Oryctolagus cuniculus: one gene and its partner. Each later gene encodes a partner of the first gene's protein in a complex. Links are inferred from orthologs where the notes say so. Each region holds a gene or a part of one and is shown in the gene's direction. Other genes may lie near its edges.

What was found. Proteins that work in one complex are often made in the same cells at the same time.
Region 2: CYFIP2 (region 1) and BRK1 share a complex: the UniProt entries of both Homo sapiens proteins name them as parts of the WAVE1 complex. The link is inferred for Oryctolagus cuniculus from reciprocal best matches to the Homo sapiens genes CYFIP2 and BRK1.

The regions. Positions count from the first base shown.
Region 1 is NC_091437.1:44,298,350-44,301,849, forward strand, and holds part of CYFIP2 (cytoplasmic FMR1-interacting protein 2), read left to right. Parts: intron 1-645; coding exon 646-720; intron 721-1,653; coding exon 1,654-1,807; intron 1,808-2,724; coding exon 2,725-2,881; intron 2,882-3,397; coding exon 3,398-3,494; intron 3,495-3,500. UniProt on the Homo sapiens protein: Involved in T-cell adhesion and p53/TP53-dependent induction of apoptosis. Does not bind RNA. As component of the WAVE1 complex, required for BDNF-NTRK2 endocytic trafficking and signaling from early endosomes.
Region 2 is NC_091441.1:116,687,069-116,691,165, reverse strand, and holds the start of BRK1 (protein BRICK1), read left to right. Parts: upstream 1-1,297; 5' UTR 1,298-1,392; coding exon 1,393-1,510; intron 1,511-4,097. UniProt on the Homo sapiens protein: Involved in regulation of actin and microtubule organization. Part of a WAVE complex that activates the Arp2/3 complex. As component of the WAVE1 complex, required for BDNF-NTRK2 endocytic trafficking and signaling from early endosomes.

The DNA.
Region 1 (3,500 bases):
AGGGAAGTGACTTGTCCAAGTCACACGGTGCGTCCCACGTGGAGGGGGGACAAGAACCCAGGTCTCCTGACTCCCCCGCAGGGCTCCGCTACAGCCGTGGGAGTAGCCCGATAGACATGGGGAGTAGCTGCAGTGCGGTTTCTTCCAGGAAATAACGTGTACGGTTACAGAAGTTGGGGAAAGCGTTCACCCTCTTAAGGATGCAACCAGGTTTTCAGACAGTTAAGAGTCTGGCGGAAGCAGCCGCACGCAGCAGCACACGGGGCTCGACAGCTCCGTTCTCTGGGGCCCCCAGGTGGTGGCTAGGAGAGGGCCTCTCGGCTCTCCCGGAGGAGAAGGTGCCGCCAGCAGCAGGGGTGCGGGAAGGGAAGCGCGCGCAGGGACGGTGTCCCGCGTGTCTCTGGCTGCACTGGCCCTGCAGGCCCGGCCATGTGGTGGGGAAGAGCCCAGAGAAGGCGAGGGAGCCCAGGTGAGCGTGGTTGCTGGGAGGCTGGAGCGGCTCGGCGGCGGCCCCTAGCAGTCGCGATGGCTTTCCCACCGTATGCAATACCTCTTGCTTTTCTCTCTCTCTCTTTCTCTCTCTCCCTCCTCCCTGTCTCTCCTGCCCTCCCATCCCCTCTTCCTTCTCTCCTATCTGTGTCTTAGGCCTGCCAGTGGTCCCCGAGGGCTTTGTTTCACCCCACTGGTGGCACACAGGGCCGAAGAGGCTGCCGATCCCTGGTATAACACCGCCTGGCGGGGTTGGCTTGGGTACTGCTCTCCAGGAGGCAGCGGGAATGGACTAGCCTGACTCCTCAAGGCCCCTTCCAGCCTCAGATTCAGAGACAGATGGTGTGGAAAGATCTAGATTAGCAGAGAGAACGAACAGTCCCACCGCACTCACGCCCTTGGCGCTTAGGGCTCCCAGTAAGCAGGAGTTAATTGTCCTGTAGCCTCCTTTGTAAGTACCGACGTGAGCCCACTTTGCACCCAGGGTTTCTTCAGGCTGCACCGTTGCACGCTCGCCACCAGAGGGCGCCTTCCCTCCTGTGATGGCTGCAAAATGCAGAGGATCAGAACTCTGAGCTGTGGGAGGGGAGGGGGGCTCTTTCGGATCTTAGCCCATTTCACACTTCCGCAGAAGGTTAGAGCTGCAAGGGCCTGGAGGGAGAGAACACCTGGTCCAACCCCTCACAGTATGTAATACCACTGAGGTCCAGAGTGGGTGCTTTGTTGCCTAAGGTCACACAGCAAGTCAGAGGCAGTGCCTGGCCTTGAACCCAGGTCTTTTGACTCCTAGTCCAGTGCCCCACCCACGACGCCACTGTGGCTGTCTGGGAAGGCCGAGAGTGACATAGGATGAGGTTCTCCTCTGAAGCCTGTGCCCTTGGCTGAGCAGGGCCGGCAGGAACCTCTCCCTGGGCCTCTTAACTACCACCGGTGGTGGCCAGATCCACCCACCCAGGAATGTCTCAGAGTTCTGGGCAGAGCTCCTTCCCGGGGTGGCCCGTCTCTCTCCTGAAGGTTTTCACAGTTGCAAATTCGCTTCTCTGCCTCACATGGTGCCTTCTCAAGACATTGTTTTTAAGAGCAGAAAGAAAACAAATACAGCGCAAAGCAAGCTTGGCCCAGGATGGCGGCTGACCCCTAACCGCGTCTTCCTTTGCCTTCAAGCTGTACATGGTGCGGACGATGCTTGAATCGCTCATCGCAGATAAAAGTGGCTCCAAGAAGACCCTGCGAAGCAGCCTGGACGGGCCCATCGTCCTGGCCATCGAGGACTTCCACAAACAGTCCTTCTTCTTCACACACCTGCTCAACATCAGTGGTGAGCTGCAGAGCCCAGGGCAGAGGCGGGGGCTCCTGCCTCCCGCGTGGCTGAGCCCCTTGGGCCGGCAGTGGCACAGTCTGCCTGCAAGGGAGGATCCCCACTTCCTGGTGGACTGCGGGAGCTGGGGAGGAGGACCAGGCCCAGTTCACCTCTTCTGACGTGGTCAGCTCAGCAGCTGTCCAGGGCGCATTTGTGGCGGATTTATCAGGACGTCTTTGGTGGAGCAGAGTCAGAAACGGGATTGCAAACGTGGAAACACACGAGGCGTTCACTGGCCTTTGGCTGCTAAGCCGCAGCTGGGAGTTGAGCAGTGCCCACTCTCCCCACAGAAGAGCCTGGCAGGCTGCAGCCCAGCCCCTGTGCTCTACCCGTCCTCTGCTAGTAGGGTGCACATCCTATAGGACAGGTGGCAGACCAGTGTCCTAGGGACGTGCGGTTGTCCTGTGTCTCTTGGCATTGAAGAGCTTGACTCACTTCAACAACCAGTCAGAACTTGTCCATCAGAGAGTTGCCTAGGAAGGGCCTTCAAGGCCTCTGAACCACACAGCCGGGGTCAAGGAGCCACAGCCCAGCTGGAAGTGGGTGCATGGCGACTTCTCTTAAAGGTGTGTGTTGTACACTTAAATCATGTTTTCACGATGGCTCTGTAGGGGGTGATGGAAATCTGGGGGCATCTAAAGTCCTCAAACACCACCGCCACTTCCACCACACATCTCTAAAGCTTAACAGATGCAGCTCTCCAGGCAAATATTAGTCTTGTCTGAAGTACAAGGGCACAGGATGTGCTACTCAGTATGTGTGAGGTACCTGCTGCATACTTAGCAGAGTGAGGATAACAATAACAGGAAGAAAATCAAGAACTGTGATTTTTTGTGTGCTGCCTATAACCCAAGGCTCTCTCCCTACACTTCCAGAAGCTCTCCAGCAATGTTGCGACCTCTCTCAGCTCTGGTTCCGAGAATTCTTCCTGGAGTTAACTATGGGCCGGCGAATCCAGTTCCCCATTGAGATGTCCATGCCTTGGATTCTAACAGACCATATCCTGGAAACCAAAGAACCTTCCATGATGGAGTAAGAGGCAGGATTGGACCTGTAAGGAGGTTCCTGGGATGCAGGTGGAAGGTGGCTTTCCAGTGAGCTCATCCTTTGCAGAAGGAAGGTCTGAGCTGACTGTAGGTCAGGTGGGGTGTGCCACCAGGGGTTAGGACACACCAGGTCTGGCTGCAGAAAGATCCGGGAGCGTCCTCCCAGCCCACCTGGCCATCCTGTGTTTCATCAGCCGCAAATCAGCGCTGCTTGGGAAATAAGCCCTCTTTTGGGTCAGGCAGCTGCTGCCCTTCCCTGCCACCTGATTTGTCTTAGTGCCAGACTTCAGCTCAGGCCCTGCTTGTCTTAGCCACTGGGGCTTTGGATTTCCGGGCAGCCTGTAGAGTAAGTCATTTCTAAGTGGTGGAGGCACTGGAAACTCTCCTCCCAGCCCTGAACTTGTGCCCTCTCTCCTCCGCCCTCTGTCTCTGAGTAAGGGGCCACCTGGCTGCCTTGCGAGACGCCCTCACCAAGCTGCTGGCTCTCCGTGTCCCCCTGCAGGTACGTCCTCTACCCTTTGGACCTGTACAACGACAGTGCCTACTATGCCCTGACGAAGTTTAAAAAGCAGTTCCTGTATGATGAGATCGAAGCCGAGGCAAGT
Region 2 (4,097 bases), on another chromosome or scaffold:
CTGAGGTGGGGTCAGGCTTCGGGAGACCACAGCGGCTCAGAGGCCTGGCAGATCCTTGGTCTGTGTGTGGCTCATAAATTAAAAACAAAAACACAGGGGTGGGAGGCCGGCATTCAGCCCATGCCCCAGCTCGGGCGACTGGGTTCCTGCCATGCACATGACACCCCTGGGCCGGGTTCCCCGCTCAAAGCTCGGCGTGGGCACTCGAGGACTTCAGCAGATGCGGGCCCTGTCTCCCCCTCCTCGCCCCTCTTCCCCTCGACCTCTTAAAGGGGGCAGTGGCTCCTCTTTTAACCCATGCTGCCTTAGGGGAGAGCAGGTCTCTTCGCTCCCTGGGACAGGCAGCTAGGGGGACCACAGCCTCACCTGGCTGGGGCAGCGCGGGCCGGGTGTATTATTGCTTTAGGAAATTGTGTGACTACAGGGGAGCTCGGACAGGCCTCCTGCCGTTCTCAGGGTCCAGGGAGACGTGGACAGTCAGCGGGACAGGGTTCACCTGCCGGCGACGACCCTGCGGGTCCCGTGAGAATCAGCTGCAGACACATCTCTACAGGCGTCCAGGAATCAAAGGGCTGTGCGCACTGGGGTCTTCCCCGTGACTGCCAGAAACACGGATCCCTCCGCTTTTTTTTTTCCTTTTTATCAAAGGCATTTCTGCATACCAGAAAATACTCCTTGAGACAAAGGTAAAATTGCACGTTATTCCACCGCCTTAACAAGCCCCGCACTGGTTTGGGGTTACACTCGTCCCCACCTATCAGACATGATTTTTGCCTAGTGGCAGTTATTAAAAATGTGCATCGTTTTCCCCCTCGGTTTCTCCAGTGCGCCCCGTTCCCGTTGCCAGGTGCTCCTAGTTAGCATCTAAAGGACAGTATAGTATTTTATTATCGCCTCGGCCGGCTGCAGCAGATCAGGGTACAGAGCGCATCTCTGCCTCGAGTGGTCTGTGTCCGTAATTTTCAAAAGCGCTGGGTTACGTAACCGCTCCGTTACAGAGTTCCTCCTGAGCGGCCCGGGCTCGCCCCCGCCGCCGCCGAGTACGATCAGGCTCTGTTCCCTCGGCGAACGCGGCGTATCGCTGCGGCCACCTGGGCGGACGCGAGGGAAGCCCACGCGGCCCCTAACGCCCACAGCGGCCCGCCGGACGTGGGCGTGCGGCGCCCTGCGCAGGCGCACAGCGCTCCTCCCCGAGCCGCCGCTTTGCTTTCCGCGGCGTGGGCGCCGGGTGCAAACGCAGGCGCGGACGTGACGCTGCGCAGGCGCATCACGAAGCCCGTGGAGTCGTGCGCGCCCGGGGCGGGTTGGGCCTGGGGGCGCAGGCGCACTGGCTGCCTGTGGGGGGGCGGGTGTCGCGGCGCCTGCGCAGCCACTCTTCCTTCGGCGGCCGCCATGGCGGGGCAAGAGGATCCGGTGCAGCGGGAGATTCACCAGGACTGGGCGAACCGGGAGTACATTGAGGTCATCACCAGCAGCATCAAGAAAATCGCGGACTTTCTCAATTCGTTCGGTCCGTGGGCGAGCCGGGGTGGCTGGGCGGTGGGGGGCCCTCCGCGGCGGCCCGGCGGGGACCCTGAGGGGGCGCTTGCGGCCGCGTTCCGGGGTTCGCTTCCTGCTTCAGGCCCCACCTTCCCGCGTCTCCCTGGCCCTCGGGCAGCGCCTGGCCGGCCAGGCGGCCCCGTCCACCCGCGCGGCGTCCGCTTCCATTGCGCCCCCTCGCTGCTCGGGGGGTCTGCTCCGCGCGCTCCGGCGGGCCCCCCGTGGGCTGGGGTCGGGGCCGGGAGGTCGCCGGAGGTGGCGCGCCGTGGGCCCGGCTCGCGCGGCCGAGACAGCCTTGCAGGAATCCGGGCGCGGCCTGCCCGAGAGCCCGTGAGCGTTCCCTCTGCCGCCCCTCGCCCCGGCCGGCCAGCGCGGGGTGCGGAGGGCAAGAGTGGCCTGTTTCCTCGAAGGGTTCTTCTGTCTGCTCGTTGAGCAACGTGAAGCCCTTCCGGTTAAACGGGAGAAACCTGCGTGCACGTGTGTCATTGCAGAAGCGTTTAGAACGAGTCAGTTCCCCCCGCCCGCCCCCAGCTTCCATCCGCTGGCTCGCTCCCTAGATGGCCGCAGTGGCCAGGCCTAAGCCAGGAGCTTTGTCCGGGTCTCCCACGCGGGTGCAGGGGCCCAAGCGCTTGGCCATCCTCCACTGCTTTCCCAGGCCATTAGGGAGGTGGATGGGAAGTGGAGCAGCCGGGACGCGAACCAGCGCCCGTATGGGATGCCGCCCCGCGGTGGCAGCCCTGGATGAATTATTTTCTAGGTGGTGAGGCGAGAGCTGAGCGAGGAGCCGGCTCCGAGGTTGGGGGAGGGCACGGGAGGACCATTTGCCTCCCTCAGAGCTCTTGTCTTGGTCACACTTTCTAAGGATACTTCTGTTGCATTTGTAAGGCGGGGAGGTCATCATCTTCTGGTTAGGGCCGGAACAGGCTGGAAGCGGGGCCAGGCACTCGGCCTGTGGCTCTCACGCGTGACAGGAACCCCTGCTCGCTCCCGGGGTGTGCGTTAAAGGGGAACTGGGGTGGGAGTGGCGTGGGGCCCCAGCCCCGCAGCCGGTGCGGTGGCGTCGCAGTCCCGCCCTGAGCAGGGTCTGACTGAAGCCGAGGCCGGGACAGCGTGGAGGAGGGGACCGTGCGGAGGTGTGGGGGCATGGCGAGGCCCTCCCTCCGGAGGCTGGGGCTGCAGGCGCTGTTCCTGGGAGGACGGGCCAGGCGTGGGTGTCCGTGGTGTGTGTGAAGGGCGTGAGGTGCTGCAGAGGCTGGTGGGAAACAGTGAAGTGAAAGGGACGTAAGTGAAGCAGTGTCTTGGAAAAAATAAATGGCAAGACTGGTTTTAGTGAACTGACAACATGTGGGAAATACCGACTGACTCGCCCGGCTCCTCTGGGTTTCCTCAGAATTTGTAAAGTTCTGTACAAGTTGCTTCAGTATGATGTTTCATTATTCTCACAGTTGGTTCTCCTCTTTCCCAGATAACTGAAATGTTAAGGGTTCTTCATAGCATTTTTTCCCCCAAAGATTTATTTATTTATTTGAAAGAGAGAGAGAGAGGTCTTCCATCCTCTAGTTCAGTCCCCACATGGCCATGACGGCTAGAGCTGCGCCAATCCGAAGCCAGGAGCCAGGAGCTTCTTCCGGGTCTCCCATGTGGGTGCAGGGGCCCAAGCACTTGGGTCGTCTTGCACTGCTTTCCCAGGCCACAGCGGAGAGCTGGATGGGAAGTGGGTGGGATGCTGGCGCCGCAGGCAGCGGTTTTCACCCACTGCATGATGGTTCCGGCCCCTTCACAGCATTCTTCACGCAAAACCTTTGTTAGAGAAGGACTACGTGGCAGAAACCAAAATATTCCATGCAGGGGACCGGTCAGGTTGATAGGTGACAGGATCCTGGCTTTGAGACTTCGGAGGGCAGTAGTTGGAAAGATCACTGACCTGGGACGTTCTAAGTTGGTCTGAAAAAGCAGAATGAAAATACTTGGTTCATACGGTTGTGCTTAATAACTGACACGCACCCACCGAGTACTCATCCAGGTTAAGGTCAGTTCAGGCGCCCGAGCTTCGGACATAGCAAGCTGGCTGGGGCGGCTTTTCCAGTGTGGACGTGTCTAGCCCCTCAGTCCTCCAGCTGGGGTCTAGGCAGTGTGGTAAGTTCACCTCTGAGCACAGAGTCGTATCGTGTATCTGTCTTGAACCCTAGTCCCACCAAGTTGGCTGGGTCTTGGGGCTGACTGAAATGGAGGCGTGATGGAGGATGTGCAGGGGCACAGTGTTGCTTTCTTGCCGTCTGCGCTCTGGCGGGGTCACATCTGCTCAGTTAGAGGAGGGATTTGCTGTTCTGTTTGGGATTTCCACCAGGGCCGAGGCCGACGAAATGGACATGCAGAATTTTAATCTTCAGGAGCCAGAAAGAAATAGCTTCTCATGGCTGTTGTCCTCCACTGAAATGATGATGGTGGCCGGATGTTTGGTGTCGTTTTTGAAAATGTTAGAGAATGAGTTTAGTACTGAAGAGTTAGAAATAAGCACAGTGTTACGATGGGTGCAGGGCTGAGCGCCATGGCACCGC